Linked DNA regions of Drosophila melanogaster. Changing the gene in region 4 together with the main gene of any one other region gives a genetic interaction. Each region holds a gene or a part of one and is shown on either strand. Other genes may lie near its edges.

Region 1 (8,155 bases), on a different chromosome or scaffold from region 4:
TAACAAGGATTATCTTGTGACTTAATTGCATTATTTAATTTGAAATAGTAGAGTATAATTAAAATGCATTCACTTAGCTGCCTTTTGTTTGCTCTGTGCCTTGTCTTGGTAGCATTTTAAGGTTTTTGCCTCTTGTGTTAATTTGATGCCTCGCCAAAAAGTTGTCAAAAAATCCAGAACGACTTTGATTTCTGATGCACTTTCACTGTCGATCTTCGATCACCGTTGGCTGCAGCGTGAGATACTGAGAACTTTGGTTCTTTGGGATGCCCACCAACTTGGTGGGTCCTGAATCTGGACTCTTGGGTTTGGAAACCGAAAGTCAGTCAAGTGTGCCGTGCCGATCGTCTGTGTGGCTAATTGAGTTACCCAGAGATTTTTGGGCCGTTGGCCGTGCGAATTATTTGTCAAATGGGTAACGGTTAAGTTTGTTACTGCTCCCGATGAGGAGGACGAGGATAATGATGATCAGGATCGGTAACCGGAGCCCATGGCCCTACGTTGATTGATGGTAGATGCGTTGCGAATCGTTTGACTAATTGCCGCTAACCTTGTGGGCCAGGACTTCCCAAAACAAACGGTGACCTCCAGAGGACTCTGCCTCTTCCTATGCCAGGTAATCTCTCTCCTTTCCTCGCGGACCGCACACAATGCCCGATAATGGGCTGAGAAAGGATGTATTAAGAAAAGGGGGCGCGGCTGCCGTGATTTGGTGTCGCTAATTACAGACTTTGGCATTTTACGTTGTCCGTTTTATGACTTAATAATTGCATTCATTTGGACCGGACTTTGAGTTTGGCTTAAACCGATCGGATGCCGATGCCCACACACACAATACGAAATCCCACTAATTTCGCTGCACACGCGACTTGGGAGAAAGGTCCGGCATTAATCACCGAATCCTTGGGACCGTGGGCTGCGGACCTGGGTTCCTGCAATTTCGCCAGCGAAGGTTGCGCAACAATTAAAGGATCAGCGCAAAATGTTCACACAACAATGCCAAAACAAATCGGCGGAAACGGAAACTGCACTTGAGAAATAAACAAAAAAAGATACAAAGTAATGTTTGTGGTTAGATCTTTCGAAAATGAGGGAAATTGTGCCCAAAAAGGCATGAGAAATTCTATTGAGCGAGATAACAAAAAAACATTCATAGAAATAGCATATAAATTATTTCAAAACATACCAAAACCGCAATTAAAAAATGTGCATTGGGGTAATTGAATCTTACGGGGCACAATGGATTGTCAGAACTACCTGTTTCCTAAGTGTTTATTTCGCTTTATTTTCAGGTAGTTTTAATCTATAAAAACTTGCTCCACTGTAAAATTCTTTCAATTTGTTGAGCAAACTGCTTAAGTCCTTGAACTTCAGCTAAGACCAATATAGTCTGCACATAACGAGCCTTAAAACCTTACCACTTAACAAGATGCAAGTCGATCGGTACAATAACCCATTTAGATACTGCCCCATGGCGACACTAACAAGAAGTGACAAATTGATGGTGTTAAAGCTCATTAAGTTACTTAACGCAGATGTACATACATTTACAGATACAGATGCACTAACTAACCAAAGCGTCGGACACAAAAAATATAAGCAACCTCAAAAACCTCAAAATAAAGCTCGCCAATTATCGACATGACAAATTTCGGGGGCATTCGTTTCCCCCCGTTCGAACGGCCAGAAAAACCCACAAAATATGCAGCCCCACAACGGACATCGAATGCATACCCGTAATAATACGTGTTAATAATGCTCAGGCAAGCTGTCTATAAATTGACAAAGACATGCAAGTGGCTGCCGCTTCTGCCACTTCTGCCACTTCTGCCACTTCTGCCACTACTGCTCCTCCTGTTTTCCGGCGTGATGTTGCTGCTGTGTCGGCGGCACTGCCAAAAGCCAAAGGCCGAAAGCTGAAAGCCGAATGCCGAAACGCAGTGAGCCAGTAAGTCAGAATGCCAGAACTCGACTGGGGTCGAGTTGCCATTCATGAATTCTAACTAATTGTATTGGCAGGCAGTTGCATTTTGGAAGCTGGATCTGAATTCGAGGCTCCGAATCTCTGCTGTGCTGTGCAGCTGCATGCAGGTGGTAGCTGGAGTAGCTGCTCGGGAATAACGACCGATATTGGCAGGAAGGCCTCTCTTCCCGCATCACGACGGATCGCACCCTTTTGTTGTGCGTGGCTTTTGAGATGGGGGAACCGAACGGAGCCGAACAATTTGTGTAATTGACAAATTGACGGCAGCGCTTTGTGCGGAAGCGTTCAAAGCCGTAAATTGTCGCTAACAAGAGCGACACTCCAGGGATATCGGCAGGATATCGCCTTTATGCCTCGCATTCGCGCCTATACAAATATAATTGCCTCAGCCGCTGGAAAAGACGCCTGGGGAGACGCCCGCACCTCGCGATCACTAAATTAAGTCATTAACAATTTAACGAAGCCCTGTCGATGCCGCGCTGCCGCTTAACTAATTATGTGAATTTCCTTTTGATTATGTGCCCCGAAATCCGTGCAGCTTTTGCGGCGACGCCCGAAAATGATTTTGCAAAACAAACAGTAACAGCCCACGAAATCCGGTCGCTGCCACGCCCCCACCCTCGCTAGCCGCCACCGAGCGCTCCAATTCCCATGCGGGAGTCGATCGAATCGCCGGCACTCGGGCGTTGCTGTCGCTATCAACAAATTGGCTTCGAATCTTACGAATGATTGACTGACTGACTGAATGACTGACTGACTGGGCCGGGGATCTCTGCTCCGTTTTAAGCTGAATGATATGTTGCACTGCCAGAAATCGTCATAGGATTTATTTATTCAACAGATCCAAAAATATCATCCATCTAATATCACTAAATAATATATTTAATTATATTTTAAAGGGAATGAATTCTGTGTAGAACTAACTATAAAGGTTTGCTTTGATCCTATCTTGTACTATATACATTTTATTATATTACCTTAAATAATATTATTTATTACATTAACTTATTGAACAAAACTTCTTCAACACCTTCTTGTTTTGCTGAGTGCACAGTTTCGGCTTAAAGTCTTAAGCCGCTGAGTTTATCCGCCAACAACGATCGGGGATCGAACTTCGTATTAAACGATTTGTGAGTGGCGCTTGATTTTCGGGGCTCGACTGGGACTTCCACTGGGATATGAAGTTGCAGAGGTTCCAGGGACAGCGACGGACAAATGGACATACGGACAAGCGGACATACGGACATTGCATGCGACCTGCGACTGCTGAAAGCAGATCAGCCCAACACTTAACTTAATTTGGCAGCTACAGTCCGGCGCGCCGTGCCGTGTAATTATCGTCCGCTGCGTATTTGTTTTGGCCAACCCGATTAAGAGGGGCCCTAATTTTGTCGAACTGTCTACAAATTGATCGCGAAGCGCCAAATCGATCACCTTCCCCCATATAATAAAGTCCAATTCACTGTGTGAGAATTGATGCCCCGCCGATAAGTGTGGATATCGAGGATTGGGGAAACAGAATTGTTCAGAGATGAAAGGATTTGGATGGCTTGGAATTTTTGTATTTATCATTTTGCATCTAGGAATTGTTGCATAGCTACTAAAACTGTTAGAAAGTCCCCGTTAACAAAAAACGAACATATGTTTTAAATTATTAATGGTGCTTTTATTTTGTCTTCCTTAGTCTTAATCATTGTCTTCCATTTAGGCTAATTAACTAAACAATAAACAGCATAATACTTAAGCGGTAATTCACTACTGGGCTCCAGGCAATATATACAAAGTAGCTACAACATTTGGCAAGCTCCAACAATAACTGAGAATAGTACTTGGGACTGGGATCGGGATCCGGGAATTCAGCGCAGCAGATCCCCGAGAGCGGATATGTAGGTCTGGGCCATTTGGAGGGTCTCGTGTTTGGACAGCTGGCGATCGTTTCCCAGACAGGGAAGGTACTGGCGGAGACGATCGAAGGCCTGGTTGAGGTTCTGCATCCGACGACGCTCACGTGCATTGGCGGCCAGGCGACGCTTCCTCTTCACGACGGGTGTGATCTGCTTGCCACGCCTCTTCTTTCCAGAGCCTCCGGCAGCGGCATCTTGGTTCTCACCATCGGCCAAGTCAAAGGATCCATCATTGCCATCGAAGTCCTCACCGCCACTGAAGAGCATGAGGTCCTCGTCATCCTCGACGCTGTCATCGAACAAGGCGGAGTTGTCAAAGTCAAAGTTCTGGAACTCCTCCGTGTAGAGATTCACTGAGGCAGATGACTCCGCAGCTGCAGTCGGTGTGGAGGTGGCGGTGGTGCTTGGCTGGTTCTTCTTGGTATAGCTACGCTTCGGTTTCGGACCTGCTGAGGCTGGAATCGTTTTGCAAGTGCCCACGTTGGAGGAGCCCATGACCTCCACTGCCGGAGGAGAGGCCACTGGAATTGCAGGCGCTGTGGAAACAACAGACTGCTCCATAATCATTCCGTATTGTTGGTTCTGGGCCATGTTGTTGCAGCCTCCATTGTACATGGTATTGAGATCCACATACTCGGGACTCTCAGATCGGTGGCTAGCCGGCGAGGAGGAGATCCAGCCATCGGAACTGGCCTGCTCGAAGCTGATGAAGCCATTGGCCGACAAGTAGTTGCTGCTGCTGGCCAGGGTGTTGCCATTGAACTGGTAGTGGGTCACGCCGGGATTGTAGGCTGCCATGGGATTGAAGTACGGCTCGGCGGCGGCTGTCTTGAAGCCCTGCAAGTCCTCGGAGGTCTTGTAGTAGTAGCGATAGATCTCACTGGACGACATGTTGCTGCTGCTGTATGGTGGTGTTATGTTGCTGGATGAAACGATACGAACGCTGCGAGTGCTGGCGGGTTTCTGACTGGTCTCTCGTCCTTTCGGCCCTATTTATACTCACAAATCCACCACGACGGTCAGAAGGGCCTGAAAGGCAGGTAGGGGGGCAGGTAAACGAGTTGCCACAGAAGGCAGCACGTGCCGCCCGAGTGGCACGACCAATGGCAGTTGGTGGTGAGTTGCAGCGGTCTCAGAGAGCCCGGTTATACCTCAGTTCGTTGCGAGCTTAAAATGGCGCTAGAAAACCGACTATCTGGGCATCTAAAGCCGCTAACAAGATGATTATAGGATGGCCGGCACAACCGGAACAGGAATATGGGCGGAAATGTAAACAGAACTTGGACAAACAATCGATTTGAATCCCTAAACGGGATTAAAGTCGACCGCAAAGCGAAGCGAAATTTGCAAAAATCCCTTGGCGATTTGTCAGCACCAAATGGCAGAGCGGGTCTTATGAGTTTATCTAATCTGCATCGGTTGCAAGTGGGTTCGATCTACCTGATCACGGCTAGGGAAATCCTTACAAATCCACCGCCGCCGGGTCATTCGACATGCTTACCCAAAGTCGGGGGCGGAATATCGCAATGAAAAATCTTGTTTATTACAACTTGGCAAATTTTCCAATTGATACGCTTGTTGCCGGTACCATGAAGAAGGTAGATGATAGCGCCGGCCCTTCAAGGACACGCTTGACCGAGTGCCAGGACTGACCTTCACCTTAGCCCTCGTCGTGCCTAATAAGCGTGGCAGGCAGTAACTAAGAGCTGGGTTAACATTTTAGCGCCTTGCAATTAATACGGCCGTGTGTTCGATCGTGAGCAGGGAATTTAGTTGTAGATCCCAGGATGACACAGCAAAACGAAGCGTCCACGGTGGTCCTTAGATCCCTTCGCTACGCCCCTTAATCCTTAATGATTCGCTGGAAATCATAATGCAACGAATTCTACATCAACCACTTGCGGGGGAGTGTTCGGGCATCTTTGAAGTTCCGCGGCCACCCAGTCGCACAACTAGTAGCACGCCCCAAAGGATCTGATCTTTTTGCCGGGCAATAAAAACGCTGTCAATTAGATAAAAATGTCACACAACAAACCGCACCAAGAGCGGCACCACCAATTTATTGGACGCACACAGGCATGTTTGACCTTTTGTCCACCCCTGAGAGACCTCGAATGTCCTGAACGTCCCTCGTGAATGTCCTTCCATGCAATTTACGAGCCACTTGCCGCAACAGACAGTAGTTACACCTGCAATATGTACCTGTGCAGATCGTATCCCTCGGATTGCATCTCCGCTGTAAAGTTTTTCGCTTATCGGCATTAGCCGATGTCAAGGCATCCGCTGCATATCGATTGGGAAATTTACATTTTCATTGCCGCATCGCAATATGCACGTGCTGCCAGTCGAGGGGGCAAAAAGGGTCATTCCAAGTCAAGTCGAGTTCTTTTTTCGCCAATGGTCGGCATCGGGCGCCTTGCGTGCCTGTCAGTTATCGAGTGGCTGATCCCTCACATCGGACCCACATACCTTATGAGTACCAGTACCTCCAATACCTCAGCTCCAGCTCATTGGCATCAATACGCTGGTAACGGGCCACTTCTTTCATGTCAATATGCATAAATGCAACTTGGCCATCGATGGGAATGCAACTGATGTGGAGCAGCTTCCAGAAAGCGCATGACAAAGCCAATTGAATGGGTATGAATCTGCTTGGGTGAAACATGAAACACTCTTGTAGTCATATCCAAATCATATTCTTATATTATCCTAGAAAAACCAACCTGTATATTCTTGAGTGTAATATAATATGGTGAATGTTATAATTGTATATTGGGTTTTTTACTAAACTCTCAAATCATGTATTAGTTACTTAGGCCATTAAACTATTGACGCAGTAACTAAATTAATTTAGTTATTTTCTACATTTTGTTAAGTAACCAAATTGCTGACTAGCCGGCCTAATTCAGTATACTCTTTCCAGGACTCTCTTCGGCATGAGGAACGTGTAGGCGCAAGAGATGCCAACAAGAGGAAAGTAGGCTCACGTCAACGACTCCCATTAGCAAGTCGCTCTGGGCCGTGAAAGTGTTGTCCAGATCCATATTTATATATATCCAGACCGAATCCCAGTCCACCAGCTCCTGCTCGACTTAAACGTCTTCGGCCCAGTTATTTTTTTTAGCTGAAATTGAAAAATTTGTATGTTACTTATTTTATTAGCATTTAACACTCTGTCCCATTTTGCAGACGAGAGCGAAAAGCGAAAGGAGCAGGAGTCTGGACACGGACATGGACATGGACATGCAATCGGCATGGCATGCCATCTCCGCAACTGGGGTAGTTCCCATTCCCCCAGTTCCGTGCACGTGGGTGGCCTGGCCCCAAATCGAATCCTGGCCTCTTGTGTGGCATTTCGGCAATTGTCAAATTGAAAATTCATTAAAGGCAAATTAAATATGCAAATGCAGAAGGACCAAGTCGAGGAGGAGGAAAGAGCTCCCCTTGTTATGTGAGACCGTTGTTTGACTTGGCTCTGCAAATATTGACCACCGATTGGGGCGGTGGAAAAATGGAAAATATCATATGTACATATGCTCCTCGACGGGGATAAAAAGTCAAGTGGAGTCAAACATTGGACGGGATTCAGTTGGAACTGGCTATCATCGCTGGGAGCTGATCAAAATTGCTTAAACAAATATCGCATAAATTGCACATTGTACGAAGTGGCCGGAAAATTGTGACGGCCATGGGTTAATTCCCATGAAAATTAAAACTAGATTATACACACGTCCACAGAGTAGTCGGAGTCGAGTCCTTGCAGCGCCCACTGTGTCATTGTTTGGGCACGCCCTCACCTCCTGTTGTGCCGGCGCTTTGTCATAGATTGCCTACTGATGGTTATCATCCGGCTGAGGGATGGCACATCAGCTCCGTGCTCCTTATGAGCGTATCTGCCCAGATTGGATCGGACCATGTCAGAGCGATTTTTGTCGCCGACTTTGATGCGGCAATTCGAGCGCGGTGGTGTTGTTTTGCCAACATTACTGCCGATCAGTATCTGAGGTGATCTTCGCAACTGACTGGCGCCAGCAGTGATCCTTTTATCCTTCATCGAAACAAGACAAATTCGCTACACATATTTTATAGTAGATAGTTGATATGCAGGTCGATTAACCATGTCCATGTAGGTGCCATGTACTGCATGCTATCTTGAAAATTTAACTTATATCGAAAACAAATTTCTTAGAACCAAATCGATTCAACAAATGAAGCACTGACAAATTGAACTCTAATTAGAAACATACGAGTTTGTGTTTTGAAAGCA
Region 2 (7,453 bases), on a different chromosome or scaffold from region 4:
CATTCGATGGCATAGGGTTCGCAGGCTTTGGGTTGCACCGATGTCCAGAAGAAGGTGCCGGCATTGGTGCGGGCAAAATGCACTGGTACATAGTAATCCTCCTGGTCGATGGTGTGCAGCTCCCCGGATCCGTTCTCATTGTAAACGATGACGGCATCTTCCTTGGCGCACTGGCGGATTTCCTCGATGAGGCGATGCTCCAGATGCTCGTTGGCCATGTTGTCCATATCGTTGCTGAGCCACTCGAACTCGGCCTCCTTCTCCTCGGAGGCGATGTAGGAGCTCCTCTTGGGCTGCTCCTTCTTCATGTTGAAGAATTGACCGAGCAGCGGCTTCAGCAGATTCTTCAGGCGACGCGAAGGCGAGACTTTCGATTTGTACATGGTGTTGAGGGTCTTCTGCTTGCTGATGGCCGACATTAGATGAATTTCGTTCAGATATTTTCTGGTGGTGAGTGCGTAGAATGCGTGCTGGGATGTTCTCGCTTCGACGTTCGGATGCTGTGTGATGCTGTCACTAAGATTAGAGGCGCTATTTATACTTTCTTGGGAGACAGGAGCGATGCTACAGCATCTCAGCCAATCACGTCGCTCGGAAGGCAGGCAGGTGCAAGGATCCGAAATTTCACACGTTAGTCAGTGGCAGCAGGTAGGTCCTGCAGGACCTGAGATTCGAGATCTTGTGCGAAGCGTGGGAATCTCGGGCCCATTCCTCCTTTCAAGACAATTATCCCCGGGTTCCAAACGAATCCTTGGCGTGGGAACAGCACATTGCCGGCCTTCTCTCGGAGACCCAGTTATTGTTTTGGATTTCGACTGGGTTTGTTTTGCCAGTTCATCAGAAATATGTCGATCCTGTAACCGAAAACCAGCTACAATCTAAGCCAAATTTACACAAATCGTGCACTTTCATTCTTATGTTTTTCGGTTCGGTTGATTAGGGATGGCATCGCAGAAAGTCCTTTGAGGCACGATCTTGAGAATTCTCACGTTCAGTTGGGGAGCTCCTCGTATTTTGGTTACTTGGGCAGCGGGCTTCCCAAATATTTTCGTGTCACGACAGAGGGTTTCATTTTTGAACATCTCTAGTCCTCACTTTTTTGGTTCAGACCCCTCAATTAATTGTAGAATGGGGGTTCATTTTTTGTGAATGTATCGTATTATAACTCATTTATTGTGGGATGTGGTGATTGCTCGCCTTACATTTATATTTACAGCCTGTGAGAATTTGTAACCCGTGTTTAAATGGTTGAAAAGATCCTAAAGAAATATAAAACTGCAGATGAGGTCTGTTTAGATGTTTGGGCCCTATTGATATCAAATTGTGTTTGTAGCAATCACTAATATAAATTTACTTGAGGTTTCATTTTTTCTATTACTTAGGGCCACAAAAGAGCTGAAATCCTCAGAGACAAATATTTTGTTTTGAAGAAGTATGATGTCTATGGTTTGTTAAGTAAGTGGTCTTAGAATCTTTAAATAAATAATAATAATGAATATTAATTAATTAGTCATATATATTTGCATATATGATACATATCATAAAATATTGTTGTTTTTAATAAAGCGACGACAACACATTTTTTGCGACTATCTTATAAACGAATTTATTGTAATGTTTAGTAATGGTTTAAATATTGTTATTTGATTTACCCCAACTCAAACAAAATCCTACACATAACAGAGTTTGAATCACAAAAATAAAAAATAAGAGTTTAATAAAATTAAATTCAACGCCCAAATCTATAAATTATTTTAATATTTATGTAATTATCTTGATTTCAAACACAAATATTTATTTAGATTTATTAATATCAATTAAACTTTTGTTTCTTTAATAAAATTATCATCATCATATCATCATATCATTATCTTTGTATTATATCATTGCCCATTTAAAACTCCAACGGGTCCTGTAACCTGTAACATTATCCCGAACTGTACTTGGTTGTATGCTTTCAATAAGGAATCTGCATCGACTTTATGTAAAACTATTTACATAACGCACACACGATCTTATGTACGAGAATGCCCCCTTTGAAATGCCATAAAGATCGAACCGAACCGTGCGGCCTTTTCGCATTTATTATTGAGATAGGATTGGCTTTGTTTCTGCTCGTAGCGTAGGGCCCCTGCCTTTTTTGTTTATCATCCGAGGGACTGGGACCGGGACCCTCTACCTGTTCCGATGCAATTCGAGATTTATTTTGTCCAGGGCCCAACCCTAAGAAGGAGCGCTGAAAACGAAAATCAGAAATCGCCTGGAGGTAACAGGTTTCCCCGGCTCACTCGGCTTGATTTTTCGAGTTTTTCGAATCCACAACAGGTTTCCAACAAAAGGGAACAGGTAAAGGTTTTGTTTTTCGAGTTAAGGTTCTTAGGGTCTCGCTGTTCCGTGAATGTGGAAGGGTCAGGGGTACGGGATAAGAACGGTTTTTGGCTTACAGATTCTTGGAAAAACCTTCGAGGAAATTACAATGACAAAGGGAAAGTTCGAATAAGAAATCAGAAATGCAAACAAGTTTCGGTATTAATATTATGTATTTATTCATACTCTCTTAAACATAGATGGAAGACAATGATTAAAGCTGGATATTTGTGCATTTCATTTTAAAATCTCCACTTGCACAGTGTGGAGAGTTAAAGCTGTTGCGGATGATGTTTAGAGACCGAATCCGTTGGAGTCTTTAAAGCTGATTGGAAAGTGGTATTTTTTTTCGGATTTCCCATTTTCCTCGATTACAGTTGGACGAGCTCGGCTTCCAATTGCTCGTTCTGGGAGTTCTGCAGCTCCTCCTCGGAAGTGGGCAGTGGGAGCTCCTTCGGCATGGAGTGGTTCTTCAGTTGCTGGTGGCCCGATGCCTTGAAGATTTTGCAGGCCACCTTGAAGATCTTCTTCATGGCCTTGGCGGGTGTGTAGGTCTTCTTCTGGCAGACAGGAGTGGTGGTGTAGATGGTGGTGTTCATCAGAGTTTCGTAGGCCATTTTTGCTAGTTAGTAGTTTGCTTGCTTGGTCGACTGATCTTGGCTGTTCAACGTTGCGATTGAATGTGATGTCCTATTCGGAATTGCGCACCGCTTAAATACCCGATCCTTGCGAAAGCAACCCCTAAGTCAACCAATCAGGACGAGTCCTAGCGCGCAGGTGTTTCTCGGTCTCTCAAAATATGAGAGTCACGCATTCCTCAACTCTCTGCAGGTAGTTCGGGATCGTTTCGGGTCCCTTTTTTGAGCGACCCTTGCACGTGTGCGAAGTAAGGCCACAATTTTCGTAGGCCCTAAATAAATCTCTCCCTCGATTTCGTTTTCGTCGTGGGAGAGTATAATTTCAGTCGAATGCCAATAGGAGGACGATGCCGGCAAGCATAACAAATAGCCAAAAAATGAAAGAAATGAAAAAATAAACGATCATCCCTTTTCCATCGGGTTCGGGTTAGTAATTTGAGTGGTTTGTTTGCGGAGGACTCGGCTCGAATTTATGCCTTGATTAGTTTTTGGCTATTAATTGTTAATAGGCTGACAGTGGAGGATAAAAGTGACAGACCCTCGTTAAACACATGTTGTCGGCAAACGAGAAATATTTACACGTCAACATTTCATTTTTGATCAGTACAGGTAGACTGTGGTCCTTTCGAGTACAGTGAACATTCGCTCGAAGGTGTGCAGGGATTTTCAAGATTCCACACTCACTGCAGCGTAGTTGCTCTGGCAGGCTTCACTGTCCTCACACTTGTTCTTCGGGGTTGTTTTGGTCCTTGGCAAAATTTGAATTTGGAGCGTAATGAAACTCGAATTTCTTCGTTTATTGCATGAAAGGTTTCTTTATCTTTCCCTTAAATCTGCTATAGGGATTTAAGATATTTTTGGATTTCTTGTTGCATGGAACCACCACTTGGAAATATGGTTTTCTGTGACAGGTTTCACTGTCCCCACACTTGTGTGTTGGTTCGGGCTCTCCAAGAAAATTAAAATTTCGTCTCTTGTTGAAATTCGAATTTCGTCTCCTATTGAAATACTTGGCACTTGTAATTTGGGATTCATTCGTATTCCAATCCAGTTGCATTAGATGGAGTGGGATAGGATCCTGGCCCATCCACTTGGGGGGTGACCAACCAGGAACCTAGCGTGCTTGTGGCTCGCTTAACTATTCCACAGGCATAATTCCCCATAAGCACTTGAAGATTTTATTTTGGTGGCGTTTCAAGTTTAGTTGTTAGTGTCAGGTTTCCTGAAATTCAAGCGCCAGAATGAAGCCTGCATAATTAGCTTGTGGCTATCGTGAAACAAAATATTGTGGATCGAGTGTTGTAATATGACTTATGTTGCATTTTTCTTATAAAAAAAAATTATTTACACTGAAAATACATGTATTCTTTAATACATAATTCTTTATCTTTATTTTATTTCAGTTCGGTGGCTTGTTAGCCGTATATACATACATATTATATATGATATTATTGTGATAAATATTTATCATTGACTCATTTAAAGAATTTTGAGAATTCACGCGTTTGTAGCACATTCAAAATTTTTAAAAATTATTTTATTCATTTTAGACTGGGTTATTTGATATGGTTTTCTTATAATTAGTTCTTGAAGAATTCTTTGTAGTATTTTAATATTTGTAGATACAAACAGTAATTTTTTTTAACCATAATATTTTTTTTTTATTTTACTTTGCTTTTATTTATTGAATCTTCTTGTATAAGAACTAACAATAAGTTTAAAAATCTTAACTATAACAAGTATTTTTTGAACAGTTGTATTATTTTTCCAACTGTTCTATGTTTAAACGGCCCTAATAATTTATTCGCTGGGTTGGTAGGTCCTTTCGCCGGAGACGGGAACGGCTGCTGAGCTGGATTAGACCTCGCGCTAGGTGGTTGGGGTGCGTGTGAAGCGTGTGAACCATAATATGATATGAAAAGATATGATATTTACTATACCAATATTTTCGAAATATAAATAGAATAAATAAATAAATACATATATACTACAAAGGTATATATTAGGTATATTTGAAACAAAAATCATATTTTAACGATAACAGATGCAGAAATTGTATGAAAGACAAAAAATAATATTTGGTGAATATTATATTAGCCTGTGGTCAGGCTAAATATAAATGTAAATAAAATTCTTTATTGTTCTTACGGAAGTATTTCCAACTGCCTACCAGCAGCATTTTTGGATTCAAATGGTCTCCAAGCAGGAATGAATGCAGTCACTAATTGGAATGTGTTCACCAGCATAGCGAGTCCAATTTAAAATCCATTCTTCAAATCAGAATTGTACAGAGTAGCCGAATTTAACTATACTTACAATGGTCATTCAATTTGGGATTTTTCTTTTCCAACCTTATTCATATTATTTCATATCAGTTTTCAGAATAAAGAGACATTAGAATTTCCTTTTTTCGATTTATTTATTTCTTATATGATATTAGTGTTTATAGCTAAAGTTTTACATGGAAGACAATGATTCTTAGCCTAATTCTTATACGAAGACCCTAACAAACAAACATGGAAGACAATGATTCGGCTAAGACTAACTTAAGGCTAATAAGACACGATAAATCACAATGAGTTAACGATAGTAACGCTTGATTGTGATAATTGAATATCAATTAGAGTTGTGTTTCCCTTGGGACGCGAGCCCAAAGAATCCAATCTATGCCTAATATCACCCTGAGATTACGAACATGCGAAGCTGAACCCGCATCCATCCGACGACCAATGGACGGAGACACTTGCACTTAAAGCTGCCAATTGGAGTTTTTCCCGGTGCATCGAGAAGTGGAACTGTGCATCCTGGCGATGTTTAGGCCTGAACCCAACGGTCGAACTGCTGGCGCAACTGCTGTTCGTGGTGCTGGCGAGCTCCCTCGGCTGAGGTCCAGAAGAAGGTGCCGCTGGTGGTGCGGGCGAAGTGGACCGGGATGAAGGTCTGCTCCGGATGGACGGGCACGATGCTCTGTTGCTGACCCTGCTGCACGATCATGGCCACGTTGGTGGGGCACTGGCGGAGATCGGTGTACAGTCGCTGCTCCAGCTCCTCGTTGGCCATGTTATCGCAACTGGCCGCCGGATCTTTGCGCATGTCCTCCAGCGAGGCGTTGACTGCATTTTGGTTCTGGATCTCGGCCAGAGTCTTCCGGAGTAGCTGCTTCTTCTTCACCAGTCGCAGAAGGGGTTTGACCAGTTTCCTCAGACTCCGCATGGCCATCGTGTGCTGATCTGATTTCGGCTCCATCACCTTGCTGCTCTCAAACTTGTATTCCCGTGTGATGAACGACATTGTGTTGAGGATTGTTGAGATTTATAATAAAACTTGGGATCTTAGTTGGTTGCACTCGGTTGAGAGTTGGTAGTATTCTGGTTTTCCTGCTGCACGACCGACTCCTTATATACGATTTGCTCTCTTTGGTTTCTCTCGGCGGGGGAGAATTCTCGCACAGAGCGGCGGTTCTCTCGATCGATGGACCCAGCCAATGGGAAGGCAGACTGCCTGCAGGTGGTTGCACAAACAGTGAGAGCGGGAGACAAAAGAGAGCCAAGAGAAAGCGGTCTCGGAATCAGGAGCATGTCCTTACCCTTGAGAAAGCAGGGTATGATGAATTTTTGAGTCTGTGCATAAAAAATAGATTTTACGAAAAATAAGGTTAATATGTTTTTATTGTGTGTATATCTTTTAAGTGTATTTTTTCTAAAAAAAATTATTTATAATAGTAATATTGAAAGGGGCCATATAAGGTTGAATTTAATTGAATTGAATTCATTGAATTTATAATAACTATAGTAATAAGATCATAAACTTGATGAAAAATATCAATATTTAAGGACTCTATTAAAATTAAACTTAAAAGACTAGCAAGAATAAAATGTATCCTAAAATATTTGGTATACAACTAAATTAAAAACTATTTAAAATTAAATAATTAAGATCGGCACAGCCTTACAAAAAAAGTTTTCCTTAACAGCACACTGCTAAATTAAGGTATGTAGGAAGTACATCGGTAAAATTACAATAAATACAAAGAGATCGTTGTATATTTAACAATTATTTAGTATTTTACTAATGGTATTTATTTTTTGGAACATAGCATACCATACTAAGTCATTTACTTTAAAATTTCATATGTTTCCCACGTGATTCAAATGCTGGGTATTACCCACTCGAGTTGCTCATTCACTGCAGGTTTTTAACGGATTTTTTGACAGTCGCATAGATCTCGGTCGGTTCTCGATCTTTCGCCCCCTCTGAGAGTACCATGCCTCACAACCTCTCTTTACCTGCTCGACTCTGTCGCAAGAAAAGTAGAAGTCCCTAAATCCCAAACGTAAAATTCCAGGAGAGTACCGAGCGGACAAGTCGAAACTTGTTGAAAAAATTCCATAACAGAGTGTGAGGGAAGAGAGATTTTAAAATTCGACACACTATCCGAAAAAAGACGG
Region 3 (9,162 bases), on a different chromosome or scaffold from region 4:
GTTTATCGGGCATCTGGGTCTCAGCCAGGACATCAGTTTCCCTTTCCAACCCTTTCTTTTTTTTTTTTGTTTTTTTTTGCATAGAAATAAATCCTGGGATGCGACTTATGAATTCCTGGTGGCGCGTGTCCTTCATTTGCTTTGTTTTTCGATTTTAATCCTGTCGCCGGCGAGAAGTCAAGTCCTTTGATATGATAGATGATGATTGTAATGTCGCTGCTCATGTACGGCTGATGTAATTAAGCGGTCCTCAAATGAGGTTGATAAACGTAAATTTGGATGTCCGAATCAGATGGAGATGCGTATTTAGATTGCGATTTGACGGCGGACTGTGGGGTAAATTAAAAAACATGTCGACGCATGCCATGTCCAGGATAAAAAAGGCGATAAGCTGCCACGCCCCCAAAACCCATTTAATGCCAAAAAACGAAAGGGCATCCATGGCATCCACGCAACACGGTAGCTAATTTTAGTGGCTATGATCTTTGAAATTTGGTGGGAAATAGTATAAACAAAAAATAATATTTGCTTATCTTATTATTTAATAAAAATATGTTAGCTTTAATCGCCTTTAAGATTACATTATTGATTTTTTCATTATTTTTTTTTTCCCAGGGTATCCCTGCGTTCATCCAACCACTGCATACCCCTGGATTTTTGTGCATTTCGTGCCCCTTGACATGCTGATGGTTTCGCTTCCATCTGTTTTCGTTCGCTTTGTCATCTAATCAGAAATCGCTGCATGATGTCCGCGATTTTCATGCCCCGCCCACCGCCCCCTCTCACCCTTCGGCCAAAAGGTCAGTGCGGCGGGCGGTTTGGGGTCGCGAGGGGGCGTGGCCATTAAGTGAAGTGAACTGTTGCTGCTGCCTGCCGTTGACAATTTGGTCAGCGTTTATGTTCTTACATCATTAGCTTGTTATTTGCATGCCCTTTGCCATGGCTGTAATTATTTTTTTTTTTATTTTTTTATACATGCACATACACACATACATACATACGTATGTAGTATAAATTTCTTGGCCCTTTTGCGGCACGAGCCTTCAGTTTGCAACGATGAGAAGGATGAGGAGGAGGAAGTGGTGCGCCTGGCCAGAGGTTGACTTAGGGTCAAAAGCGGCGGCAACAGTTGCAGCTAATTAACCAACTGCCAACTGCTGCTGCCAATTCTATGCAACACAATACATATGCACATTAATTGTGGGTTCAAATCGATTACCAGAACCAAAAAGGCTCGGAACATTGCGTGATCAGCCTGCCTGCCCAGCCGATCCTGTCCAGCGCATTTCCATATCCCATATATACCATATCCCATATCCCGTGTACAATGTACCATGTCCGACATGGAGATGTTCGGGGATCTGCTGGGAACAACGCTGTGTTGCACATTGCATGTTGTATGTGGCATGTTGCCCCGAGGACAGCGCCAACTTGCTGCCTAATGTGACGACTGCTGTACCATTGATCCTTTTCGCAGGCGGCATTAGTCACTCCAGAACTTCTGGCTTGTCACTCAATCAATGCACTTCCGATGCATTCATTACCTATTTTCGGGTGCACAAAAAGAAAATGCATTTGCCAACCAAATATTACATGCAAGTTACATAGCAAGTTATGAATTCATACTTCAAGTTACAAATTTTGTTAGAGTTTTATCATCATATACTTGATGATGAAGTGTGCGTTACAGAAGTAACTCTCAATAAAAAAAAGTCTTTAGAAATTAAAGCCATATTAAGTTAATTATGCATACATAATTGAACGTATTACGCATCATTTTCATTCAGTGTAATTTGAAGAAAGTTTGAAAGGATAAACCTACAGCTTCCGCTCGTTTGAAGTTGTGGGAAGCATTCTTTGGGCTCGCAATAATCGGCATTTGGCAAAGGAAGTGCTGATTGCAGTGCTCGAGGAAGTCTTTAATTTTCAGAAATGTTATATAGTCAACCAAAACACAAAGGTGATATAAAGTGCTATAAAGTATATAAGTTATATATAGATCATTTTCATCAGTTATTAGAAATTACTATATATTATCCTGATCTGATCCTGATTCACAGAAGATAGTTAGTTTACCAACTCCTTTCTTTTTCACACCGCCTACCGTTTGCACTTCTTCTCTCCATTTTAGCTTATAATTCCCAAGTGACCGTTCGGACAGCACTGCAACTCACCTCTTCCGCTGCGTCCCACGAAACGCAGATCATTGAACTTGGCCACGTCGTTCTTCATCTGGGTGGTGAAGTTGCGCAGCTCCGCGCAGCAATTCTCATCGTTTCCCGCCCGGATGGTGACATAGGTGCCATCGCCCACTTCCGCCAGAGCGACGACCTTGAAGGCCATCGGCAGCGTCTTGTTGGAGCGCCAATGGGCGGGCAGGGCGGAGCACAGGAAGTACGGATTGCTCGTGCGCACTGGAAAATGAAGAAAGTGGGTAAAAAAAAAAAAAAATCAGGATAAATCAGTTTGGTTTTAATTAGCCAAGGGTTCGCTGATTAAAATCACATTTTCACGGCCATCAAAAATATTCAATTATTTATAGTTTCGTGTCGGTCCATAAATATCAATCATCGTGGATACTGAACACTGGATGCAGGATGCTGGATACTGGGTCCTTCGACCATCGACTCGCCATCCGGCGGTGCATAATTAATTAATGAGCGGGGAGATGTCAAACGGAACGGAACGAACGGACCGGACCGGAAGGGGTTATCGGTTATCAGATGACGTTTGACTGTTGACCTGGTGTCGAAAGTAGAGCAAAGTGTGGAGAGCTGGGCTGGCTGAATAAATGATTTATTTACTCGCGACTGGCGCGCAAAATAGACCGAAATATGGACATCTAATTGCTGATAATCATTAAATTTAATTTGTCACACCGCTGTAGGTTTGGAAATCATGTTTTACATAGGTGTCAGGAATCAAATGTGCGCTGCCCTGAAAACCAAACTGTGTAATAATAAATTGTAATAGACTAGGCACATCCAGATCCTGATTGAATCCCATAGGTACGATACTAACTCAAATGGAATGGAATATAAATATTACTTTAAGACAAGAGTGTAAAGTCCTGATAGTTGCAATTCGATATGAAGGCTATCCATTGAGCACAAGTTATGAAAGGACTCAGAAGTGAAAAAAAAAATCATATAGGATAACCAGTTTGCGGATTCCCCAGCTAATTTCAAGACTGACGGTGCGATGAGCTGAGATTTCATTAGCAGCTTTCGCTCTGGGTCATTGATATCATTGATAAATCGGGAGGAAAGTTCAACGGGCAGCAAGGAATAAGAAAAAAAAAAAAAAGGTGGCATTAACAAAATAAAAAAGGGGAACGACTCGTGCGTTGATATCAATAACAATTATTGATATCAATTTACGCATATTCCGACGGCGATGCCAGTCCCATCTTCACTGGCATCACCATCATCATCGCCATCGGTATCATCATCACGATCATCATACCCATGGAATCCGATAAGGCTGCGTCCGATGATCGTGATTGCCACGATGTGGAAGCCCCAGAAGTGCATTGTGCAAGGATGTGGCAAGAATGTGCGCTCCACCTTTCGGGGATCGGATTATCGAACAGACCTGCAAAGCATCCACCAGATCCCCTCGACACGAGCTAAAGATGCTGATACCTTGTGAATGGAAGAGCTGTCTCCGCAGAGGCTTGCCTTGATATATATATCTATCTATCAATCTTATATTCATAAGATATATTATATCAAGAACCATAGATCATATTGGGAATCTGGTAGCAAAGAATTTGCTATTTACAGTTAGTAAGCTAAATCCCTCTGTTCAATCAATTTTGTTCACGGGAAATTACAAATCCAGTTAGACTATATCTTCATATTCACTTTGATTTTGAAGGACATTAAGGTAGCTATTAATCCTTAACCCTTTTGCAGACTGTGTTACTACTAGGTTATTGGTAATATCCCACCAACAACTCACCCAATTCGCCGGGATGTTCCTGTTGTCGCTTCTGTACCAATCGCTCCATCCACAATAGATCCTGGTGAACGGCGTTGTTATTGTTGCTATTGCTATTGCTGGCACCGTTGTTGTTGTTGTTGCTGGCGGTACTACTGCTGTGACCGCCGGTGTGTCCACTATGCCCACTATGGGCTGTACCATTGCTGGCGCCACCTGTGGGCGAGCTGCTGCCAACACTGGCACTACTCGAAACGGCCAAAACCTCAGCGGCTGTGGCGCCCGTGGATGCAGTGGCGCCCTGGGTGGCACCACCTACGCCGCCGCCAGTGGCCGTCGCCACCGCTGTGATGCCCTTGAAGTCGCCGGTGGAGCTGCTCCAGCCGTTGCCCGTCGGCGATGTGGATGACGATGTGACCATGGCCGGCGGATGTGGTCCTGCCGGCGGATACGGATACGGTGGGTGGTGGTGGTGGTGGTGGTGGGGCGCGTGCGGATGCGGTGGGTGGTAGGGGTGGGCGTGGTGGTACGGTGAGTAGTGGTGGTGCAGGTGGTGATGGTGGTGGCTGCCGCCGCTGCCGTTGATGCTGCGACCCAGGCGGCCGGGACCGGCAACGCTGACGGGCGCCACAGTGGTGCTGTGGTCCGCCACCAATTCCTGGCCCAGTCCCAATCCCAAGCCCAGTCCCAATCCGAGTCCGAGTCCGTATCCGGAAGCCAATGGCAAGCCCAGCTGCAATTGCGATTCCGTTTGCGATGCCAAGTCCAATTGCGACTCCCCAGCAGCGCCCGTATGCCCAGATGGAGATGCTGATGGAGTTGGAGTTGGATTTGGAGATGGAGATGGAGGCGTCTTCTCTGCCGCCAGGAGATGCAAATGCATTCGTCGACGGCGGTGACCTTTGATCCGCTCGCTTGCCCCTTTTTTTCTTGCAGTGTGTGCGGGTCGCAGGTCAAGCGCTTATCACACTTCGCTCCGGCGGTGTCTTTTGTTCACTCATCAATAAACTCTAATCTCTAAACGAATTCACAGAAAAAAAAAAGCGTACTTAACAATTGTTTGCAATTGCACTTACGATATGAGAAAGATTCGTGTTTAATTGAAAACTTAAAATGCCGATCGATTCATTAAAAACAATCCATGACAACATCTCAAATTTGTTTCATATTAAGCAATTTAATTAAAGTACATATAGAAACAGTTCACTGGCGTACGTTTAAATAAAGAAATAATTGCAAAAAACAATATATATAAATTTAAAAAATGATTAAAAATATGTTTGCCTTTCTGAATACATATTAAATAACTGCGAGTACTACGACGATCGACATTTTGCTAGTTCGCACTTTGATAAATTAGTCACAGGAATTAGCGGTGCATTTGTTGCTATTGTTGTTTTTTCTTTCTCTTTTTTGAGCATGCTTTTGCCAGATGATTTCTGAACTTAATTAAATTTGATTTCGTTTGATTTGGATATTTTTATTGTTTGCACTTCACTCGGCTAATTAGTAATACTCTATGTTTGACTCCCGATTCGCAGACGGGCCTCCTTTTCTCGAGTTTAACTTTGATGATATTTCTGGGAATCGGTGTAAAAACAATATAGTACAATATAAACATTTAATGTTCACAACTGATCTCCCAAGTAATCATAAATGGTTGTAAAAGAGTCAGTTATTTGTTTATTCAAACAATGTATAAGAAGCTTTTACAATTACTATTGTATATTATTTGTTTGAGAACAAGCAACAAAGTAAACAAATTATTTCACAGTCGCAAAATAAAGCCTTAAAAAATATGAACTTAAGTTTTTGTCATAAAAACATTGCCTTAATTCGTTTGTGTCACCATTTATCACTTTTATTTTGTTACTAACTGCACTTAATAGCACTTTGGTTTGTGTTTAGTTTAATGTAAAACTGTTTAACAATATGTTTGAATGCAAGTTTCTGGCGAAACTGTGTCGCTCTTTTGTTTAAATTTAGTTGGTGACGAAATTCGAGTTAATAACTAAAAGTTAGCCGATTTTGGCGCGCTTTTTGTTTACTACTTTGTTTAACACTTACACACACACTTAGTTTACTTTCTTCGGTATTTCTTTAAGTGACTTAAGCACAAGTTACAAAAAAAAAGGGTTAACACGTAAGCGAGGTGTTATTTTCTTGTGTTTCTTTCAGTCGATTAAAAACTTCGCTAACAATGGAAACAATAATGCTCGCGCGTCGTACTCCAAAACATAACTGAAACTGACTTTTAACTTTTGACTGCGCCGCTTGAATTTCGCGAGACGATTGAGCTCGGCTCTGAGTCGAATCCAATCGTTTTTCCACTTGCCTCGCGAGCCAATTGGAACGAGAACGACTCTCTTTGGCCGGGGCGTTTTGGGTCTCTTAAGTTGCTCGCTCTCTCTCTCTCTCTCTCTCTCTTGCTCTTCTGTAAATGCATGGCCTAGTATGTGCATTGTGACAAGTCACCATTCCACGCAGTGCTGTTGCATCAAATTTTTAATAAATTTCGCTAAAAATAATAGAATTTAAATGCTTAATCAAATAAACAGTTGCTCTCCCTCTCGCTCGCTCCTGCGTTTCCCTTGCACTTGGCACCGCCCCCGGATTCTGATTGGTCAGGTGGACATGGCATTTGAGGCGCGCCATTGGTGGACACATTTTCATCCACCACCGGCTGCAACCACTTCCAATTGGAATCGCATTTAAGCGCGCTCTCTTTAATCAGCTGAGAGCGTGACGACTTAAGAGCGGCGCTCTTGTTCAGCCGGGAAATTTCGAAAATATTTAGGAGCTGGATATGATTAGATTTTCATGAGAAAATAAATAAGTTGTGTTTTTTTTTTTATTATTTTATTTAAAATTTAACATACATGTATTTAAAACGCACTTATGGAAAATTGTATTCATATAGATACATTTTGGATATTAGAGATGAAAATCAGAGAATCTACTTTAAAACTGATACTTAACATGCTTATCAAATCTGCTATTATCGCAAAAAGTGTTAATTAAAAACTGTGTGTTGTTGCTAGCGCAAAGAAAACAAGGATTCCAAATGACATGTGTTCTTTTTAGCGAAGGAAAGGCGTGATAAGAGACTATCATTGGGCCATATTTTGTGGTTCAGCCTTGGTTTGTGGTCGAAATACTGATATCGAATTAAAATAACAACGCAGAGTTCTTATGATTTTAAAAAGTGTTTATTTTAAATTTACCTCCGACTTATCACATCGAAGGGAAATAGTTCTTATCGCTGGGAATATAATAGCGTGAGAAGAACGTCAGCTTATCTGCGAGGGCAGAAATTGCGAGAAAATCAAATGTCTATGCTATTTAATTTCAGAAGTGCTATCAAGTGATTAAAATTAAGCATTTCAATTGCTCTCAAATACTTTCAAAACTACCTCAAAAGCGTTTTTTCCTTTAATATTGTATTAGTATGCTGTACTGCCTGTGTAGCTTAAAATTTAAAATTTACTTAATTGCTAATTCCGTATAATAAAACGAGACTGTATGCATAACTATTATTTTATACACAGTACATTTGAATTTCATTTTTATGGTCATCTATGGTTTGCGCCACCACTGAACAGTGAGGGCACACACCATGTTCGGAAGCCCAACTAGTCCATGGTGTTGATAAAAAACGTACTAAAATTTCCACAGCCGTTTTTCCCCTATGTGAGTGCAGCCACCCGTTTTAAACACAAACAATTTCGCAACGCAGTGAATCTCTTGTTTTTCCGAGTTTTTCCGCGATCGCGAAGTGCGCGTTAAAGTTAATCGCTGTCTGAAATCCCGTTAAGCTGGAGAAGTGGAAGAGAACGCGCAATTCCACCAAGAAGATGGACGGCCGAGGGGTTGGCGGCGGTGGTAGTGGTGCTGCCACAGGGGGAGGATCCGCCAACAACAAATCAGCTGCTGGAAATAGCGCCGCCACTGGAAATGCCGATGCATCTACCGCCACAGCGGCGCCCAATGATAAGCCAACGATTCTGGAAGGTAAGCAAACGAAAATGCAAATGAAAATGAAAACAAAGGGAACACTGCCTAATCCCATAGATAAAGATAAAGATAAAGATGGACCCATGGAATCTTTTATTAGAAAGCGCACACACACACAAGCACAAGTGCTGAGAGCGATTTAGCGTGAAATGGGCGTTTTGCCCGTCCACCCCACCCACTCCAATTGGGATTTGTGATTAGGCGAAGCGCAGTCTTTTGTCCTGTTCTAAAAATAGAACTACGCATTAGGCACAACGCACACATGAGCGCCCAAAAGTAACGGGGAATCCTTTTAGCGAAAGGAGAGCAGCTAAATAACTCTATTTTCGTATCTATGTACGTGTGTATTATGGGGACCTGTTGAGTGTGTGAAGCCCTAAAAAATCATCTAGAACACGTTTATGAGCAAGACAAATCAATACAACAACATTTCACAATTACACCCACAAATTGCACTCAATTCGATTTGATTAATCATCTGCATGCGTAAGTGTGTGTTTTTTTTTGTTTTACAGCTAATTGTTGGAATAAGAACAAAAATAACATTGCAATGCGAAAAGTCCTCTAGAGTATCGCTTGTCCAGTCCAATTGGACTTTTGTATCTCTGGGATGACGTGTATTTTTGACCATCCCAATCAGCTGATTCCAGCATTTCGTTTGGTTTTTGCCATTTTCTAGCCTTTTTCATTTTATTGATAGATGCTTATATGATGTGAAGCTCTTTAATTTATGCGAATGCGTCAGACAATTTGAATTCTTATCAGAATATAAGTACTGAAAGTGCCCACAGTTGTGTTCAATGAAATAGGGGTATGCATTTTTCAATGTTGTAAAATGGCTCATATAATTTAATTCGAAATCAACCTATCATCCATTTAAATCCGTGAATCAATGTGGTTTTTGCCACTTCTGCTATCTTTGCAGTTTGTGCACCTTATGTAAATACGGCTCTATGTAGTGTTAACTTGACTTTGATCTAGTTACTCGTGTTACTGAGTGTAGTCCATTGTTCTGCTATTTGCTAGCTCTAGCTGAAATTAGTCATTTGTTTTAAACGATATCTTAGCTTTGACTTAACACAAGCCAACTAAATTTTGGATTATATTCCATATGATCTGATTTAAGAAATCAAATTTAAAACATTTGTTGCCCTTTTGCAGGCGTTCTCCACAACATCTTCGATGGGCTGATGGACAAGGAGGAGC
Region 4 (7,631 bases):
CCATATGGACAGCCTTTCCCGCCCTTTCAGCGCTTCCCCGGTCCACCGATGAACGGTCCCGATGGAATGCAGCGCGGGCGTGGACGAGGCCGGGGATGGAATGGACCCGGACCAGGTCCTTTTAGACCGCCTTACCAACGGATGCCCGGACCGGGATTTGATGGACCCGGACCAGGGCCGCGACCATTTTTTCCTCGGGGTGGCGGACCTGGTGGTCCCATGCGAGGCCGCGGGCGTATGCGTGGTAAAGCATGGATGATGTAATTACGTATTTTATAGATCTACAAAAAGAGAGAACCTAGTTTTAGATTTCACTTATCTCACTTTGATTTAATTTAACAAAAAAGTGTATTGCATAGAACAGATAACTCATTAACCCCACACACTTCTCTTGGTTTCCCTTTGGGCGGTGGGCAGATGACGTTGGCAGAAGATATTGTACATTGCTGTGTATAATATTAACTAGCCATGGTTGTTATTGATGTAAATTCATGAGATTTTAAAAAATATATAACATGAAAAACAACAAGCCATCAGCAATTGAAGTGAAAGTTAAATAAAATTATTCACGAAATCCGTTGAGCTATTTTATTATGTAAATTATTAAATGATGACTAAATATGATAACGCAAATTGTTTTCAATCAGCCAACGTCAGCAGCCTTCATCAAGGGGAATCTAGGACAACACGTGCAAAGACTTTACACTTACACCCTCGACTTAACTTATGTTTGTGTGTTGACATAGATTAAGCATATAGTGTATGATTAGTTAATGCCTTCGCCTTTAGTTCCTAGTGCTAAACATAGACACTAGTAATTGTAAATAGTTATAACGAAAAGTAGTCCAAAAATTAATTGTTAACGTAATTCAAAAGTTCTATACTCTTTACTTATGGTCAATGATATTAACTTTTTAAATATATATCGATTTGAATTTCATTTTAACAACTTTATAATGAAAATCGAAATATAATGGTAATAAAAAACACTTTTCAGCAATCGTTCAGATCGTTGTAATGGCATTTTTAGAACTATGTTTTCCGATCTTCGTTATTTTTAAATTTAGTATATATCGATTGAATAAATATTTTTGGATTACCAACGATCCAGTTTAAGCCATCTCAAGTTTTGCTAATTTTATGAAAACGGGCTATAATATTTCTATTGGTGGCATTCACATCCATCGATCGTTGAAATCAAAGTATCACTAAAAATGTTACAATGATCTGACTTATTTCAAGAAAAATATATAGTTCTCGACAATTACATTAACATCCTGCCCATTTGAAAACCATTTATTGACCACCTAGTTAGTTTACTATATACTATCTTACTTATTTCGTTGTGCATTCTATTCCAGACTTATTGAAGAGCAATTTCTCAGATTTCTGTGGACTCAAGCTATACACCATAGTTATAGTAAGCTAAGTTAACAATCTGTATTTAGTTTTATAAATACAAACATCAATGTGATATTTGCAATTGAAAACTGTTGTGTACGATACGTCTTTTGTCTTTCTGGATCCTCGACTTCATCCGTTTCAGATAGATACTCGCTCGGTCCACCCACAGTTCCCATAGCACTTACAAATGACTATGTTTAAATCAATTTTCGTCTAATCTTCGAAGGATCTAAGGTAGCGACTGTGTTTATCCTCAGTGTGTTTACCTGTTGACGTTTGCGGCATTTAATCACTTCTGTTTTGGAGTTCCATCACTTTGAGTCGGAAGCGGAACTCATTAATTCTCGGTTTGTTACTGATGTTATGACCTTTCGTTTTGGTTCGTGGGCGTGGCGCACTGCCTAGCTTGCCATGCCGCTCTCATCTTTCAAGGATAACAAGGATACCCTTTTTCGGGCTGAGATGAAAGCGTGGCGAATAAAAACAAATGTGGAGGCATCAGTTGGATTGATAAATGGAGTTTTTACATATATTTATGTAAATTAATAAGTCTGATAAGTTATTTACATTTCAGTACCTATAAACTTCCTATCTTTTTTTTAAATATTTATTGGATTTTTCCCTTTTTCTCTCTAAAAATATCTGCTCTAAATTCTGTATATGTACCAGCAAAAAATGCAAAGATACAATTCAAACAAAATATAAATTTCCAAGTTCGCACAACATTATTTTCATTCCAACTCCACCATTTCATACGATATGAATTTAAAACAATATAATTGATTTGTATTTTCATTTTTATTATAAAACTATTGCTTGAATTGTGTACAACTATGATAATAAACGTAAAACTAACAGCCTTTATAAGATTTCCACTAGGATATGAAGGTGTTGCTGCAACACAGCCCGCAAAAGGAACTTCCATTTGAGGAAGAAAGGATAAAGGATCGCCCACACTGGCTAGTAGTCTCTGGACAGCAACGTGACCAGATCCCCGATGTATGCTTGCGCCATTTGCAGAGTTTCGTATTTGGAGAGTCGCCGATCGTGGCCGAGTGATGGAACCACATCTCTCAACTTGTCGAAGGCATCGTTCAGGCTGTTCATCCGCCTCCGTTCCCGAGCATTGGCGGCCAGTCGCCGTTTTTTGAGGACTTCGCCACCGAATCCCGCGGACGATGAACTGCTCGAAGAGGCGGAGGATGTAGATGATGACATGGAAGTGGACAGCTTGTCGTATGGCTTGCTCCTCTGCTGCTTGTTCCAGTACCTTGGACTTCTGCCCTGATTCTTGCCCAAGGGATTCGCTTGAAGGTGGTGCTGCTGCTGCTCCTGGGCATTCAGCATGTGCTCCAATTCCAGGACAGACGGCGTATCGTAATACATCTCCAAGGAGCAACTGTTGGCGCCATCCGACTGGCTGTCGCTGGTGCTGAACTCCTGCTGGTACATGAGCTGCTCCAACTGCTGGAAGGTGTCGTTGCTCAGGAACTCGGGAATCGCTGGGGCTTCGTCGGGGAAGTAGAACTGCTCCATTAGCTCGTTGTTGGTCAACATGTTTACGTTTGCAGGCTCAAGGGACAACTGAAGTGGCTGCTTGAGGATGGGTCTTTATATAGCTGCCTGCCGAGGATTCAGCTCTCACGTGATTGGTTCACTACATATGTCCTGTTACCTGATTCGCTGCCTCAAGCTGATCCGATCCGCTCAGGTACCCGATTGCCAACCTCTTGAGGATCAGCAGCACAGCCCGTGCCCTAAATTGGCTTGCGGTCAAGACGTTTAATTGTCTCTGGCTGCAACTCTCTCCCTCTTTCTCCCAGGTATTTACTGTATCAGCTACAGGTCGACTCCTTTTGTTTGACCTGTCATTTGGCTACCGTCTGTAATCATACCTCTTTTGTTACTTGCCCTGGAATTGACTTTTTATATTCAAACAAAATTTAGCCAAGGTCAAAATGCGAACGCACAAAAGACTCTTGTCATATGGGAATATTTTCCACAATGTGTGCCTCCATCGAAGATCGCCATGGATCATCTTGGTTGCATGTCTGTGGTCTAGTGAGTGGAGTGCTCGACTGGTTGGATGCAAACCCCATTTTTCGGACAGAACAAAGAGCAACAATTGTGCTTGTGCGGTTTGTGACTTTCGATTTTAGGCGGTTGTACTTACTTTATTGGGTCAAATTTAAGTGGGTGTATTAATAGTGGCTTTCTCCTGCTTTCAATGGCCAAATTACAGGACGTCGAGAAGTTCGAAATTCAAAAAAGCATGAAGAAATCAAAGCAAGTATCACATTATTATTATTTATTATTATTTTCATATTAAGGGATTTGAAATGTGCTATATTAACGCCTTTACTGAAGAGTTACTTTTCCGATAATAAAACTACACTACTTTAACATGCTGAAACCATTCGATGGGTCCTTCGAAACTCTGGTGCAATATGTTGCACCCTCACATTATATACTTTCATTCGTATGCTCTGGTTTCCACAGTCATCTTGGGATCAAGCCCACTTTCAAGTGACCGCATCGAAAGGCTAATTAACTCCACAGACTCGCAGCATTAGAGGGAAAATCAATTCGAGGAGTTCGCTGAATTTCTAAGGAAACTGGGCAAAACAATTGGAAAACACTGGCCGAGAAGCGCCGAGCATGGCTAAAGAGTACAAATGATGCCACTGCAAGATGGCCCAGTTACTTCGCCCAAATTGTCAAGGAACAAAGTCCCGAGCCGACAAAGGATCCTGACGTTTGATCTTGACGATGATGATGATAGCTGATGGATCGATCGATCGCTCGATCGGTTCACTTTGTTAAGAGTGCCACGCGACCGCAGCTTAGTCGAAATCCTGGCCCAGATTAGGCATTATGCTGCAATATTTTCGGGAGAAAGGTTCGCGGATAACCTAAAGATCTGCAACGCCTTCGAAAAGAGGTTCTGGAATTTCCAATTAGCATTTTTCTGCGCTACCTGGGACCTCGATCCTGTCAAAATAGCAACAATAGGTAGTCGGTTGGTGGGCGGTTCTGGTTGAAAGTGGGAACCTCTCTCCGCACTCCATCCATATCCATGCCCGTTTGTTTCTTTTCTTCTGACCAACAATAGGTCACCTGATGATAATCTCGGATACGTCTGGCAGTTGCGTGTTTTTGGGTTTTCCCTGCCAGATTAATCGTTTTCGCTTTGCGGATTAGTTGTTGGCGCTAAATTGCGAAAATGAGATTAGAAGTCAGAGTCCCGGAGTCACCAGGAATTCCATGGGAATCTCTTCTCGCCCGACACTTGTTGATTCCACTCTTTGTATTGCAATGCCTGACAATGGATCTTTGTTTTTTGGTCCCATTGTTGGTCTGAAATGGATCAGACCTAACTTCATTGTCCTGAGCATAATTACCATGTAATAATCTGGAATTATGAATTATTATATACAAAGATTTGTTTGTTTCCAAGTAAATTCGTTGTGGTCACAGATGTGCAAAAATATCCAGACAGTATGTCTAGCAAGAACTTGAAATGGATGTTCCTAGCGAAAGCGGAGAATTGGAATATAATTTATAATTGCATACTTTAAATGTTTTTGCTGATCATTATTTTATTTAAATGTACGCCCTTTTATTTTTTTCCAGGTCAAAGAATAATTTCCTTCTCTTTAAAGAGTGGTTACAAAAGTAAAGTTATAAATATTTAAATGTTTTGCTTAGATCTCAGTTCCACAAAACTCATGCCATAACTTACGGCACACTTCAAGGTCCAACAAGGATACATGTTTAACCAGGCCGGCTAGTCCTTGCTATCAACAAAATGTCTGTTGGGCTGCCAAGGATAGCGCCCCGAAAAGTGTCAGGCAATTGCGACTGTTTATTGGAATTTATTGACACTTGAGAGGTGATCGGGATAAAAACAGTTACAGAAACGGACAGTGATCCTCGAAAGGACACGGGCAGGTAATCGGAGCCAATCCCGAGTGCGACGCCGACCTTCAATGATGGGTATCATAAATTGTCATCACATAAATAGTGGAACAACAGGACCAACCGTATCCCCGGTGACATTTATGACTCTATTGACCGTCTGCCGCTGCTCCTGATTTCCTAGATGCTCCTGCTGGGCAATCAGTGTCCTTTTACACGTGACCCGCTCCCCTATCTTAATAAGCAGTTAATGGTAGCGGTAAGCGATTCACAAACAAAGCTAAAGCCAGATAAGAGCCGCCCATTAGAAAAGGGGGAAGTGTTAATGGATGCTTCGATAAGGGAACAATAAAACAATAAACAGAATATCGCTTTATATAGTGGCGAAAAGTCCAATTTGCCCTTTGATAGCGAAACCAAATAACTGAAAATCTATATATAGACTATAAGATTTTGTATAACACTCAGTAAAAAGCCAAAATCATTTACATAAATACATATCGCTAAGTCTTTATTTAAAATATTGGAAAGAACCGATTACAATGAATGCTGTGATCAATTATTATATTATTAGCTAGGTCACAGTTCCATAAAGTTTACACACACAAAACACTTGTCTACGACAATCGATCAATGTCCGTCCGAGCTGTGAAGGTCTTCCAAAAATGGATTACAAACTAAGTGCAATATGAAATCATCAATTTTACAACCACAATGGAACGCGGTTATCTAATACTTTTTGTCCTGTGGTCTGTTTAATCGTGAATTAGTAATAGTAGATATTCATAATCAATCACAAAGAGGTTAATATCGGTGTGAGTTCCGTTGGGGATGAGTTTTGAATATGATATTATTTATCAATTGCTGGATGGTCCACGTGTGTTCGATTAAATTGTTTGCAATAGTACTCTGATATGATTAAAAATTTTGATTCGGAATTTACGACACTGTTTTGTGGGTCTGTGCGAATAAATATTAAATTAGCTACAACATGAAATTAACAAACTAAAGGCATACTACTTTTATAGGGTGAGGCGATGCAGTTGGTATAATATTATAAAACAAAGACACAAAAGGTTTGTCTAAAAAGTTTGTCATTTTTAAGTAGTTGCAATAATATAATCGAGCCATATGTTTGCCCTTTCGGCATCGGCAACATGTAGATCTTATGTTTTTGTGATTGCAACTTAATCGGCTCACCCTAATGTATAATATTACTCGATAAAGCTACGAGCACACAAAAACGCACACAATGTTGGAAATACACCCTCACAATTGGTTAAATCCGGTTGCACTCCGGATTTTATCACTCATGGAAACGCGAATATCTCCAATTCGAAGTCTAGAGCGTTGTGGAGGTCACCGTGCTGACACCATGGACGAGAATGGTGGGCGGCAAATCGGCGGTCAGTTCGGTTAGCAGTTCCATATAGCTGGCGCTGCGTTGCGCGAAATCCGGCGCCGAGAGCTTTGGCGGAGCGGCCAGATAGATGAACGATAATGCCGTCTGATCCGAGCGTTCGCGTATGATTTGATTGGCACGCTGCATGTAGAGAAGGGAGCGATTCAGGGTCTCCTCGCCCACCTCGTCATCATCCTCCAGCACCACATTGTCCGCCTGAGCGGTGAACTGCTTGAGGGTGCGTGCATGTCGGCTGAAGTCGGTGTCCCGACTCCACTCCTGGATCTCCACAATGTCGGCTGTGATGCGCAGCTCCTTAAGAGACTGCTCCAGCTTCATTTTCGAGAAAATCTCCATTTGCGGGGTCTGGGTGTCGAAAGTGCTGAGTAAAATAGACGATAAATATATTAAATGTTTATAAAATTTTGTATTCATTTCACATACCCCACTGTCCGCTCGTCGTTGGCCTCGCACAGGAAAATCCTCACTCTCAGATGCTTCCATTTGGCCAGCATAATCACCGCCAATTGCATCATGAACAAAGACACCATATCGAAGGGATCTCCAGATGTTGGATTGAATATATTGATGGGCCACACATCAATGTACTTCACATGTTTGCTCCTGCATTCAATAATGTTTTTTTCAAAAGTTTGCTCAAGAATTAAAAGTAGATTTTCAACTCACATGGAAATAAAGTTTTTGTCCAATCTTTGGAAATTTCTGCACAAGCACAGATTCTTCTTCATCCTAAGGGTGTCGCACAGGATCTGAACGTACTCCTGAATTTGGAATTGCTTCGGATCGCCATCGCGTCGAATGGGGAAGTTTTGAATTTCGCCATTGTTAAAGTCATCGGTTTTATAGGGGGAGGAACCGCTGAAAAAAATGTACATAGATAAGTTTT

Evidence for each region.
Region 1: of amos (region 4) and ato, changing one suppresses a phenotype caused by changing the other (phenotypic suppression), as found in Drosophila melanogaster (2 studies listed by BioGRID).
Region 2: of amos (region 4) and Brd, changing one enhances a phenotype caused by changing the other (phenotypic enhancement), as found in Drosophila melanogaster (one study listed by BioGRID).
Region 3: of amos (region 4) and lz, changing one suppresses a phenotype caused by changing the other (phenotypic suppression), as found in Drosophila melanogaster (2 studies listed by BioGRID).

What each region holds. Positions count from the first base shown.
Region 1 is NT_033777.3:8,274,750-8,282,904, reverse strand, and holds ato (atonal), read right to left. Parts: upstream 4,854-8,155; 5' UTR 4,780-4,853; coding exon 3,841-4,779; 3' UTR 3,631-3,840; downstream 1-3,630. UniProt on the Drosophila melanogaster protein: Developmental protein involved in neurogenesis. Required for the formation of chordotonal organs and photoreceptors. Seems to bind to E boxes. Specifically required for the photoreceptor R8 selection.
Region 2 is NT_037436.4:14,968,270-14,975,722, reverse strand, and holds Brd (bearded), read right to left. Parts: upstream 3,057-7,453; 5' UTR 2,985-3,056; coding exon 2,739-2,984; 3' UTR 2,525-2,738; downstream 1-2,524. Other genes in the region: ocho, read right to left, coding at 1-419; Tom (twin of m4), read right to left, coding at 5,820-6,296.
Region 3 is NC_004354.4:9,281,584-9,290,745, reverse strand, and holds the start of lz (lozenge), read right to left. Parts: upstream 6,098-9,162; 5' UTR 6,010-6,097; intron 4,960-6,009; 5' UTR 4,826-4,959; coding exon 3,964-4,825; intron 2,415-3,963; coding exon 2,175-2,414; intron 1-2,174. Other genes in the region: c11.1, read left to right, coding at 7,797-7,953, 9,118-9,162. UniProt on the Drosophila melanogaster protein: Involved in prepatterning photoreceptor precursors in the developing eye; in the larval eye disk it defines a subset of cells as an equipotential group that is competent to respond to the sevenless developmental signal and another subset that confer proper photoreceptor identity by positively regulating the homeo box gene Bar.
Region 4 is NT_033779.5:18,593,946-18,601,576, forward strand, and holds amos (absent MD neurons and olfactory sensilla), read right to left. Parts: upstream 2,977-7,631; 5' UTR 2,962-2,976; coding exon 2,365-2,961; 3' UTR 2,191-2,364; downstream 1-2,190. Other genes in the region: CG15160 (uncharacterized protein), read left to right, coding at 1-244, 1,362-1,429; CG10413 (uncharacterized protein), read right to left, coding at 6,665-7,106, 7,169-7,348, 7,412-7,603. UniProt on the Drosophila melanogaster protein: Transcription factor involved in early neurogenesis; sensillum basiconica formation and maybe sensillum trichodea development. Promotes multiple dendritic (MD) neuron formation. Required for olfactory sensilla; regulated by lozenge (lz).